Linked DNA regions of Bombyx mori. The protein of the gene in region 2 purifies or fractionates together with the protein of the main gene of each other region. This does not show direct contact. Links are inferred from orthologs where the notes say so. Each region holds a gene or a part of one and is shown on either strand. Other genes may lie near its edges.

Region 1 (4,270 bases), on a different chromosome or scaffold from region 2:
AGTTGCAGTACAATGGAAACTGACTTCATGTTATAAATTAACTAATCTTTTGTAGTTAATGACATCATGCTCATCTATAAGGGGTCAGGTTTTCCAATGCCATTGACCAGGATAATTATAGGAATGAATGTTCACTACACATTTTATATTATATCATGCTCTATGTAGATTCTGCGAAACACTGCCCTTACTAGGGCTAGTGTTAGCAAATTCGTCAGGTTAGAGCCCCATGAGCTCACTTAGGTACTCATTTGGCGAATCTATTATAACCCCTCGAGGTTATTAGGATCTCAGTGCTGTTACTGAGATCTACTCAAAGTGAATGAATCACCTGAAGCAAAGCGGATTGCGAATTGTGAAGTATACTTTAAATGTTCTCATAATTAAATTGAGTTTTGATTGAGATTGAGTTTTGTTATACTTCAGTGAAAGTTTTTATTTATCCTGAGCCCTAGTGCTTATGCAAACAATGCTTATAAATACAATAATGTCATGGATGTCATTTGTATAAGTTGAAATTGTATGTTTTGGGAACAAGTTCTGGTTTACTGGTGGTCAGACATCTTGCGAGTCCACATGGGTAGGTACCACCACCCTGTCCTTTTTGTTCCAAACTTCCAGTTTACTGTTTTGTTTATAATACTTAGATAAACAATGGCGAATTTTATTACTTGTAGTGGTCAAGTAAATTTTACAAAGTGTAATAACTGAAATTCACAACAACACGCACTTATAAACAAAAAGCTAATGTCTATATATAAAAATGAATTGCTGTTCGTTATTCTCGCTAAAACTCGAGAACGGCTGGACCGATTTGGCTAACTTTGGTCTTGAATTATTTGTGGAAGTCCATAGGAGGTTAAAAAGGTTTCAAATAAATATGAAAATGCTCGGAATTAAATAAAAATATTATATATATATTATAATTTTGTTTTTCCTTTGATGTCCCCCCCATCGGACAGATTCCTTTTGTTTGTTTTAAGTTTATTTTATACAAAAGTTCAGGTCTTTTAGTTATCGATTGAGTTACTACGAAGTCTGCCGGGTCAGCTAGTTAACAATAATAATCGTTATCATTCGCTGGTACAAACAGCAGGATGATGTGGGAGTCCTGTGGAGTTGCGCCAAGTTGTGTGCGAGTACTTGCCTACTCACTACACGATGAATCGGTAATGCGTTACGGTTTGACGGGTGGGGCAGCCGTTGTACTGTAAAACTGAGACCTTAAAACTTATCTTTCAAGGTAGGTGGTGATATTTAGGTTCTAGATGTCCTTAGGGTTTTAGTAACTACTGAACATCAGGTGGGCCGTGAGCTTATCCAACTGTCTAAGCAGAAAAAATATGAATATATTTTTATTTTTATTGCTTAGATGGTGGACGAGCTCACAGCCCACCTGGTGTTAAGTGGTTACTGGAGCCCATAGACAATCTACAACGTAAATGCGCCACCCACCTTGAGATATAAGTTCTAAGATCTCAGTATAGTTACAACGGCTGATGTACCCTTTAGACCGAAACGCATTACTGCTTCACAGCAGAAATAGGCAGGGTGGTGGTACCTACCCGTGCGGACTAACAAGAGGTCCTATCACCAGTAATAAAAATGTTTAAAATATAAACTATATCGGCAAATAAATAGGTATTGGTCCGGGATCAACTGATCTCCTATCAATGTGAGCTCTGCCCCTTAGCATCTTTAGACTGTTTTCAGTCACCTTCGTGCAACTTCTCACCATCAGTCCTTCCAAATTCTTATTGTGCACAGCCAAAGCCCTGGAACACATGAATAATTCTTAAGTATGTTATTTGCATCTTGATCCATTATGGATTTATCACTACATAATATAAAACAAAGTCGCTTTCTCTGTCCCTATATCAGGTCCCTATGTATGCTTAAATCTTTAAAACTACGTAACGGATTTTGATGCGGTTTTCTTTAATAGATAAGAGTGATTGAAGAGGAAGGTTTATATGTATAATAACATTCATTAAATAGTGGAGAAATCAATAATAAATCACAGTTTCCGAAGCGAAGCTAGGGCAGGTCACTAGTTATTAATAAACGATTATTTACTTACTTGACACCTTTATCGGTAATATCACCACAGCCACCTAGATTAAGAAGTTTCAATTCAGTACTGTACTTGGATAAAGCGTACAAAATCTTATCTGTTACTTGTTTATTTCCTTCTAAGCTGAATGTTTTTAAATGTCTGAACTTTTTTATGAATATCAGTATACAGCTCTCCGTTATAGAGCTGCAGTATGAGAGGTCAACATCCTCAAGTTTCGACTGATGTAACGCGAGAGCCTCCACAGCACCGGTCGTGAGCCACGAGCATTTCGATAGCTTCAGAATTTGAAGTTTGTTACAGTACAATATCACAGGTTGTAAAGACTTGGCAGAGAGGCTGTTGCACTGACTGAGGTTTAGATTCGTAATGTTGGAATTTTGCAGTAGCATGGGGATGAGGTCTGCATCAGTAATAGTGTCGCATCGGCTCAGATTCAGCACGGTTAGTCTTCTGCATGTCGTTGCAAACACCTGCAATAATAATTTTAAAAGTCTCTCTACCAAGTTCCCTGCATATACGGTTCGACAGCAATACTGACCCTAAATGTGTGCGGTGAAAAGCCTTTATTCATTAATTTTAACGATTTTAACTTCGCAAAATACATGTTTATAATTTGCAAACATGTTTTCGAAACACATCGAAAACTTAAACACTCTCGTATAGTTAGATGCGGTAGCACTTTGGAGACTAATATATCTTCCCAGTATAAATCAAATAATTGAGTGTTTCTCTTCATTGTAATTTGTGTTTTACTTTATTTATCTCGATAACAGCTTTAATTTCGTTCATTTCTGTTTATTTGACGCTTTTGACATAATATTGAAGTTAGCTAGTTTTTGTTTGTTGATTCGTCTATTGTATAGCAAAGAAAACGAGACCCATACAGGTAAATCTCATCAAAGGCTGAAGCAATGTCAGATGTAGAAAACGTGAAACGTAACGGAAAAAAAAAGAACTTGAATGAATCTGAGTTAGCATAACGCTGAAGTTGTTAGTAGCAAGACGGGCGCACTGTTATATTGTGGGGCTAAGCTAATCGCTGGCACCCATTTCAGCTACCTACGCGTGGTGTTCAACACGAGTACATCGGTCTCATTCTTTAGGCCAGGAGTCACCAATTAGTTTACCTCGGGGTCTGTTTTAAGAATTGGAATGATCATTGCAGTCCGCATAATGTTTTATCGAAATAAGTATTTGTTAAACAAATGTAATTACTGAATTATCAAAGGTATTTTTTGCATTTCAATGAGAAAAATCAAATTTTTTACTGCGGACTATCTTACTGAACTTTGGATTATAATTAGTATAATAGCCGGCAAACTTCTTGAGCATTTGTTGACGTAGTGGGGGTAAGTTTGCGCATGGTACACTCACGTGCAAAAACATTATTTACTCTGCGTCATAATGCTATTAAATTATTAAAATCAACATATGTATTTATTTATATATTTATTAGAACATCAACAAAAAATATAGGTTAATAATTATAATAATTTAATCTTGGGGTAAAATAGATATTCCTTCTATTAAGTCAAAACTAGAGCTGTTGCCAGGTCTTCGTTCAGTTGAAGCGAAGCTGGTATTTGTAATTTTTTTTCGTTATCATAATCTTGACCATTATCATCATCACTGTTTTCATCACCCGAGTTGCCATCATCGTGATAAGTCGACATAGGGCTCATCGGTGTAATTTACGACTCGGTCGGTTCGATCTTCTTTTTTGTCTATAATTAATTATTTTTTGAAGATATTCGATTCGTAGTAATCGAATGTTACTTTTTTCAATTACCAGCTTCCGATTATTTTCTGTTTTTTTTTCCATCTGAAGCCTAGCTCTTTCATAATTCGTCGTAAACTTCATTCCGAGCCATTAAAATGTATATCTTCTTTAAAATTTTCGAAGCCTTTCTACGGTACGGAGTTTCGCTGCTTGTTATGTAGTTATTATGATTACATCTTTTTATTACAGATTGAACGAAACTATCCATTCCGGTAACTTTCTTCTTCCCTGATCTTTTCTTACCCGGAGTCCCAAGCACGATGAGCAAGCCAGAGCCTTTAGCTTCGTTAATAATGCACCTAACAGTACTCACTGATGTTTTTGTTGCTTCCGAAGTCTGTTTTACTTTTTCCATAATATCATTCTTCCCCTGTTTTATAATGAAGCAATATACGTCGTACACCATTTTTCTA
Region 2 (4,416 bases):
GGAAAACTCATTGTCCATTCTGACTCTCGTAATTCCATCCATATATAGTCTGAACAAGGGAGACGAGGTGGTCCGGTATTCCCATCTCTTGCATCACGTCGAACATTTTCTTCCAGTTGATGCAGTCACAAGCCTTGGCGTAGTCAATGAAGCAGAAAGCCATCGGGACGTTGAACTCCCTTGCCTTTTCGATCAACTATCTCATGTTTAAGATCTGCTCTCTGGTTCCTCGACCCTTAATAAAACCCACATGCTCTTTTGCGATTTGCCTATTGATAAAACTCCTCAGTCTTTTATTGACAATATATAGGAGAATTTTACTGGCATGCGAGATTATGGAGATAGTCCTGTAGTTCTCACATTTGCGCGTGGAGCCTTTTTTATGGAGGGGAATTAATATTGATTCCGTCCAGTCTTCAGGCCGCTGGTCAATACGCCATACTTTCTTGCAAATGGAGTGTATAATCTTTGATACCATCCGAGCCTAGGCTCTTTAACATTAGAGCGGTTACGCTGTCCCTCCCGCATGCTTTCTTCTTCAACCTATTGATTGCTGCCTCAACTTCTTAAAGAAGGACATCTGGCCCACGTTGGTTACAGTCCATCCTTTCTTCGATATCATCGCAGCCCTTTTCGCAATATAGCTATTGGCTGTATTTCCTCCATCTATCTAGCGCAGCCTGCCTGTCAATGATGAGACATCCACGTTCGTCCTCAAACGTCCAGGTTTACAGCTTGTACTCTTTGGCCAACTGTTTAACTCTGCGGAACATGTCTTTAGAATGAATGCGTTCAGAATCCCTTTGAATGTCATCGCAGACAGCATTTATATTACCAAGGTTACCTGTTTCAACTGTTCCCAGGTGATTTACAGAGTCGAAGGAGTCTACGGCAAAATCACGCAATCGCTCCTTAATGGCATTGGCAAACAAATCCTGTGCTCCACACGATATGTCCACCACCTTCCTAGGTTTCTGCTGTTTGGTTGACTTGAGACGGAGAGTGGTCACTGCCACAATCTGCACCTGGTCTCGTCTTAACATTCAGGACAGATGATTTCCATCGTTCTCCTATCATGACATAGTCAATCTGGTTTATCTGTGGTAAGGTGAGTCTCACTTAAGCCCATCACACCAAGGTGACAACTTTCCATCTCTCTGCAAAATATTTCGATTTTCCCAGGTCTCAAGAGTCCGCGAATATTCCAGGTGCCAACATTAAGGATTTTTTATGGCCTAACCGCCCTGTGGTACTAGTATTTGAGTCAACAGTAACCCAATTTCTATAAGCAGCCTGATGACGCACAGACCGTACGCATAGCCGGTAACCAACTTCACACCAGAAGACCCGGACTCGTCCTAGCGCCGAGAGTCAGTCGGAGCGCTCGACATACTAAACTTCCTTTTGACTTTTCTCATGGTGGTTTTCTTGTGAAAAATAGTAACGGTAGCTTCCCATTCCTTTCCGTCCCAAAACATTTTAGGGGGGATTTAGCCCCCTAGGCCACTGCAGCCTCATCCAGCTAGTTGTCCAGCTAGAGATATGGTTATCCCGCCACTGATCGGTCGCCATTGCCTCGTCCGTTGTCTAGCAGGGAGCACCACGACTACTAGTCGTCGCAGTCGCGCAGGTGAGGTTGACATTTGGGGCCGTATCGATGGCAATTACGTTCACCCCCTTACTCCCCCTATATCAAAGTGAAATTCGTTTCCAATGAATGCTTCACTGTTTATAATAATACATATATTATTATATTCATAAAATAGGTACCTACCCATTTCTTTTTGTCTTACGGTAATATTATGGCTTGGTACGGCGATGGTAATATTATGGCTTATTGTAAGTGAGCACAGATAGGTAGGTACTATCCTTTTTTCATATTAGAAATTAACCATAATAACAAGTAGATAAACTTTCTAATAAATATTATGTCATTAATTAAGAATAATAAACCGAAAGTCAAATTTGAATTGAATCAAAAACAGTTGAGTAGTCATCAAAAATGTGTACTTCAGTAAATCCTTTTTCTTTCTTTTTCTTCACCTTACCCCACTAGGTGGGATCAGCACAGCTAATTTTTCTCTTCCATTCTCTTCTATCAGCCGTCAGCTCAACACTCACTCCTCTCTCTCATATCATCATTCACATACACCACCCATGTTTTCTTCAGTCTATCTCTTCCTCTACCTTGCACTACCATTTCCCAACATCTGCATGTGATGTATGCACGCATCTTCTTCACTAAATTGATATTCACTAATAAAATTCACAGGCATGATAGTAACATTACGCTTTATTGTTTATTGACTAATTAAATTACAGATTTTTTTTATCTCTTCAGAAAATATGACAGATTTGTACGATGTGATTTGAATAAAATAAAATGTGAACGTATTATAAAGAAAAAAATAATAATAATAACCCAACATTAGAATATATTTTCAACATACCTGATTTGTAGTTATGCTCAACTTCAAAGTAATGTTGTCATTTAATTTATATTGTAGACTTGTAGAGTGATCGTTTTCAGGAGCGGAACTCATAGAGTATTACTTTTTTAATATTAATATTACTTTCGACCAATAAGAAGAAAGTTCTCATCACTTTGTTGTTCGACTGAAGTAAATAATAATTTTTAGAAGATTTTTATACCAACAATAATAATTAGTATACTTTATCCAAACTTAGCGGATCAATGTAGTAAACAAACAGCACTTTTCAAAATATCACGATTTTTACACTCGAACACATTATTTAATCATGCATAAGAAACATCTAAAGTACATATTAATGCTGAAATTGTTTTAAATTATCTATATAAACATATCATTTAACTAAATTTCAAAAAATTTAGGCCACAATAAACAGAAACATGGCAATTTGCAATTTGACATTTCGTAAATTTATCGGTTTTTTTTTAAATGACCTGGTAACTAGGATATTTAGGTCAAGTCTTATTTTAATTTTAAGGAAAACTTTTTTTAAATGAAAAAGGATATTATGAAATGAAATGAAGTTGATTAATATGAAACATGTTATGAAACGAAATGAAAACAAATTGAGATGAGATGATATAGGATGAAATATAATCTCAGTAAAATGGTGGTCATTTACTGAGACTTTTTCGGTGGCAAAAGCGTTTTTTACCACTCTTTTAATATTTAATATTATCTATGAATGTGAAAACCGTTTTGAAGTCGTCGCCGCGTCGTGGCCTAAAGGATAAGATGTCCGATACATTCGTGTTGAGCGATGCACCGGTGTTCGAATCTCAGGCGGGTACAATTTCTAATGTAATACGTACTCGACAAATGTTCATGGTTAACCTCCACGGTGAAGGAACAGCATCGTGTAGTAAAAATCAAACCCGCAAAATTATAATTTGCGTAATTACTGGTGGTAGGACGTCTTGTGAGTCCGCGCGGGTAAGTACCACCACCCTGCCTATTTCTGCTGTGAAGCAGTAGTGCGTTTCGGTTTGAAGGGTGGGGCAGCCGTTGTAACTATACTTGAGACCTTAGAGCTTATATCTCAAGTTGGGTGGCGCATTTACGTTGTGGATGTCTATGGGCTCCAGTGACCACTTAGCACCAGGTGGCCTGTGAGCTGGTCCACACATGTAAACAATAAAAAAAAATTTGAACTGATCATGAAAAGTTGATTTCTTTCATTTTCTAGAATTATTCATTCATCTACGGTGCATCTCTATGATTTATAAAGACTATAAGACTTTTCTATTTAATTTACTATGAATTATAAATGGAATTGTAGTTGAAACAAATATGGTGTTGCTCTGAAAACAGCGATTTTATTATTTTAATAACTTACAATTACAACTTAATAACATACACAACAGAAATTAACAGTACATTCACATTATAGGTATCTCGCCTGAAAACACAGAAACGATATTAAAGTCCACCACTCTCAATTCCCTAAAATAATGATCTAATTTAATTTATAACAATATGCCCGAACATGGAAGATGTCATTCCCTTCATTAACAACGCATGTCACCATTGTCGACAGCGCCATCTATATAAGTGCACAGGAGCTATAGAGCGCTGTGCAAATGATAGTACATTTGAAAGAAATATAGTTTCTTTACATCACCTAGCCGCTGGTGTGATCAAATAACCACCCTAACTGGACTGCCAGTTGCAACCGCCCTACGAGAAGCTGAGGACCGGTCGAAGTAGAAACAACTCACGAGACAGGCTACGGTCAAGTTTCAAGGACATGACCTTCAGTACTGAAGAAAGCGACGAAAAAGAAGTAGCTTACGTCCGATGCTCATTTGGAGCATACCGTTCAAATGGAAAAAAAAATTTTTTGGCTTTATTTTTTATTGATTAGTTTATATTCAGCCTAGACAAGGGGCAATTAGTTCTATATTATCAACCTGTAAAACTCCAC

Evidence for each region.
Region 1: the proteins of cry1 (region 2) and F-box/LRR-repeat protein 15 purify together in Drosophila melanogaster (affinity purification with western blotting; 5 studies listed by BioGRID). This does not show direct contact. The link is inferred for Bombyx mori from reciprocal best matches to the Drosophila melanogaster genes cry and jet.

What each region holds. Positions count from the first base shown.
Region 1 is NC_085109.1:1,691,038-1,695,307, forward strand, and holds the start of F-box/LRR-repeat protein 15, read right to left. Parts: upstream 2,916-4,270; 5' UTR 2,814-2,915; coding exon 2,616-2,813; intron 2,548-2,615; coding exon 2,081-2,547; intron 1,776-2,080; coding exon 1,622-1,775; 3' UTR 1-1,621.
Region 2 is NC_085123.1:13,764,583-13,768,998, reverse strand, and holds the start of cry1 (cryptochrome 1), read right to left. Parts: upstream 2,875-4,416; 5' UTR 2,451-2,874; intron 1-2,450. UniProt on the Drosophila melanogaster protein: Blue light-dependent regulator that is the input of the circadian feedback loop. Has no photolyase activity for cyclobutane pyrimidine dimers or 6-4 photoproducts.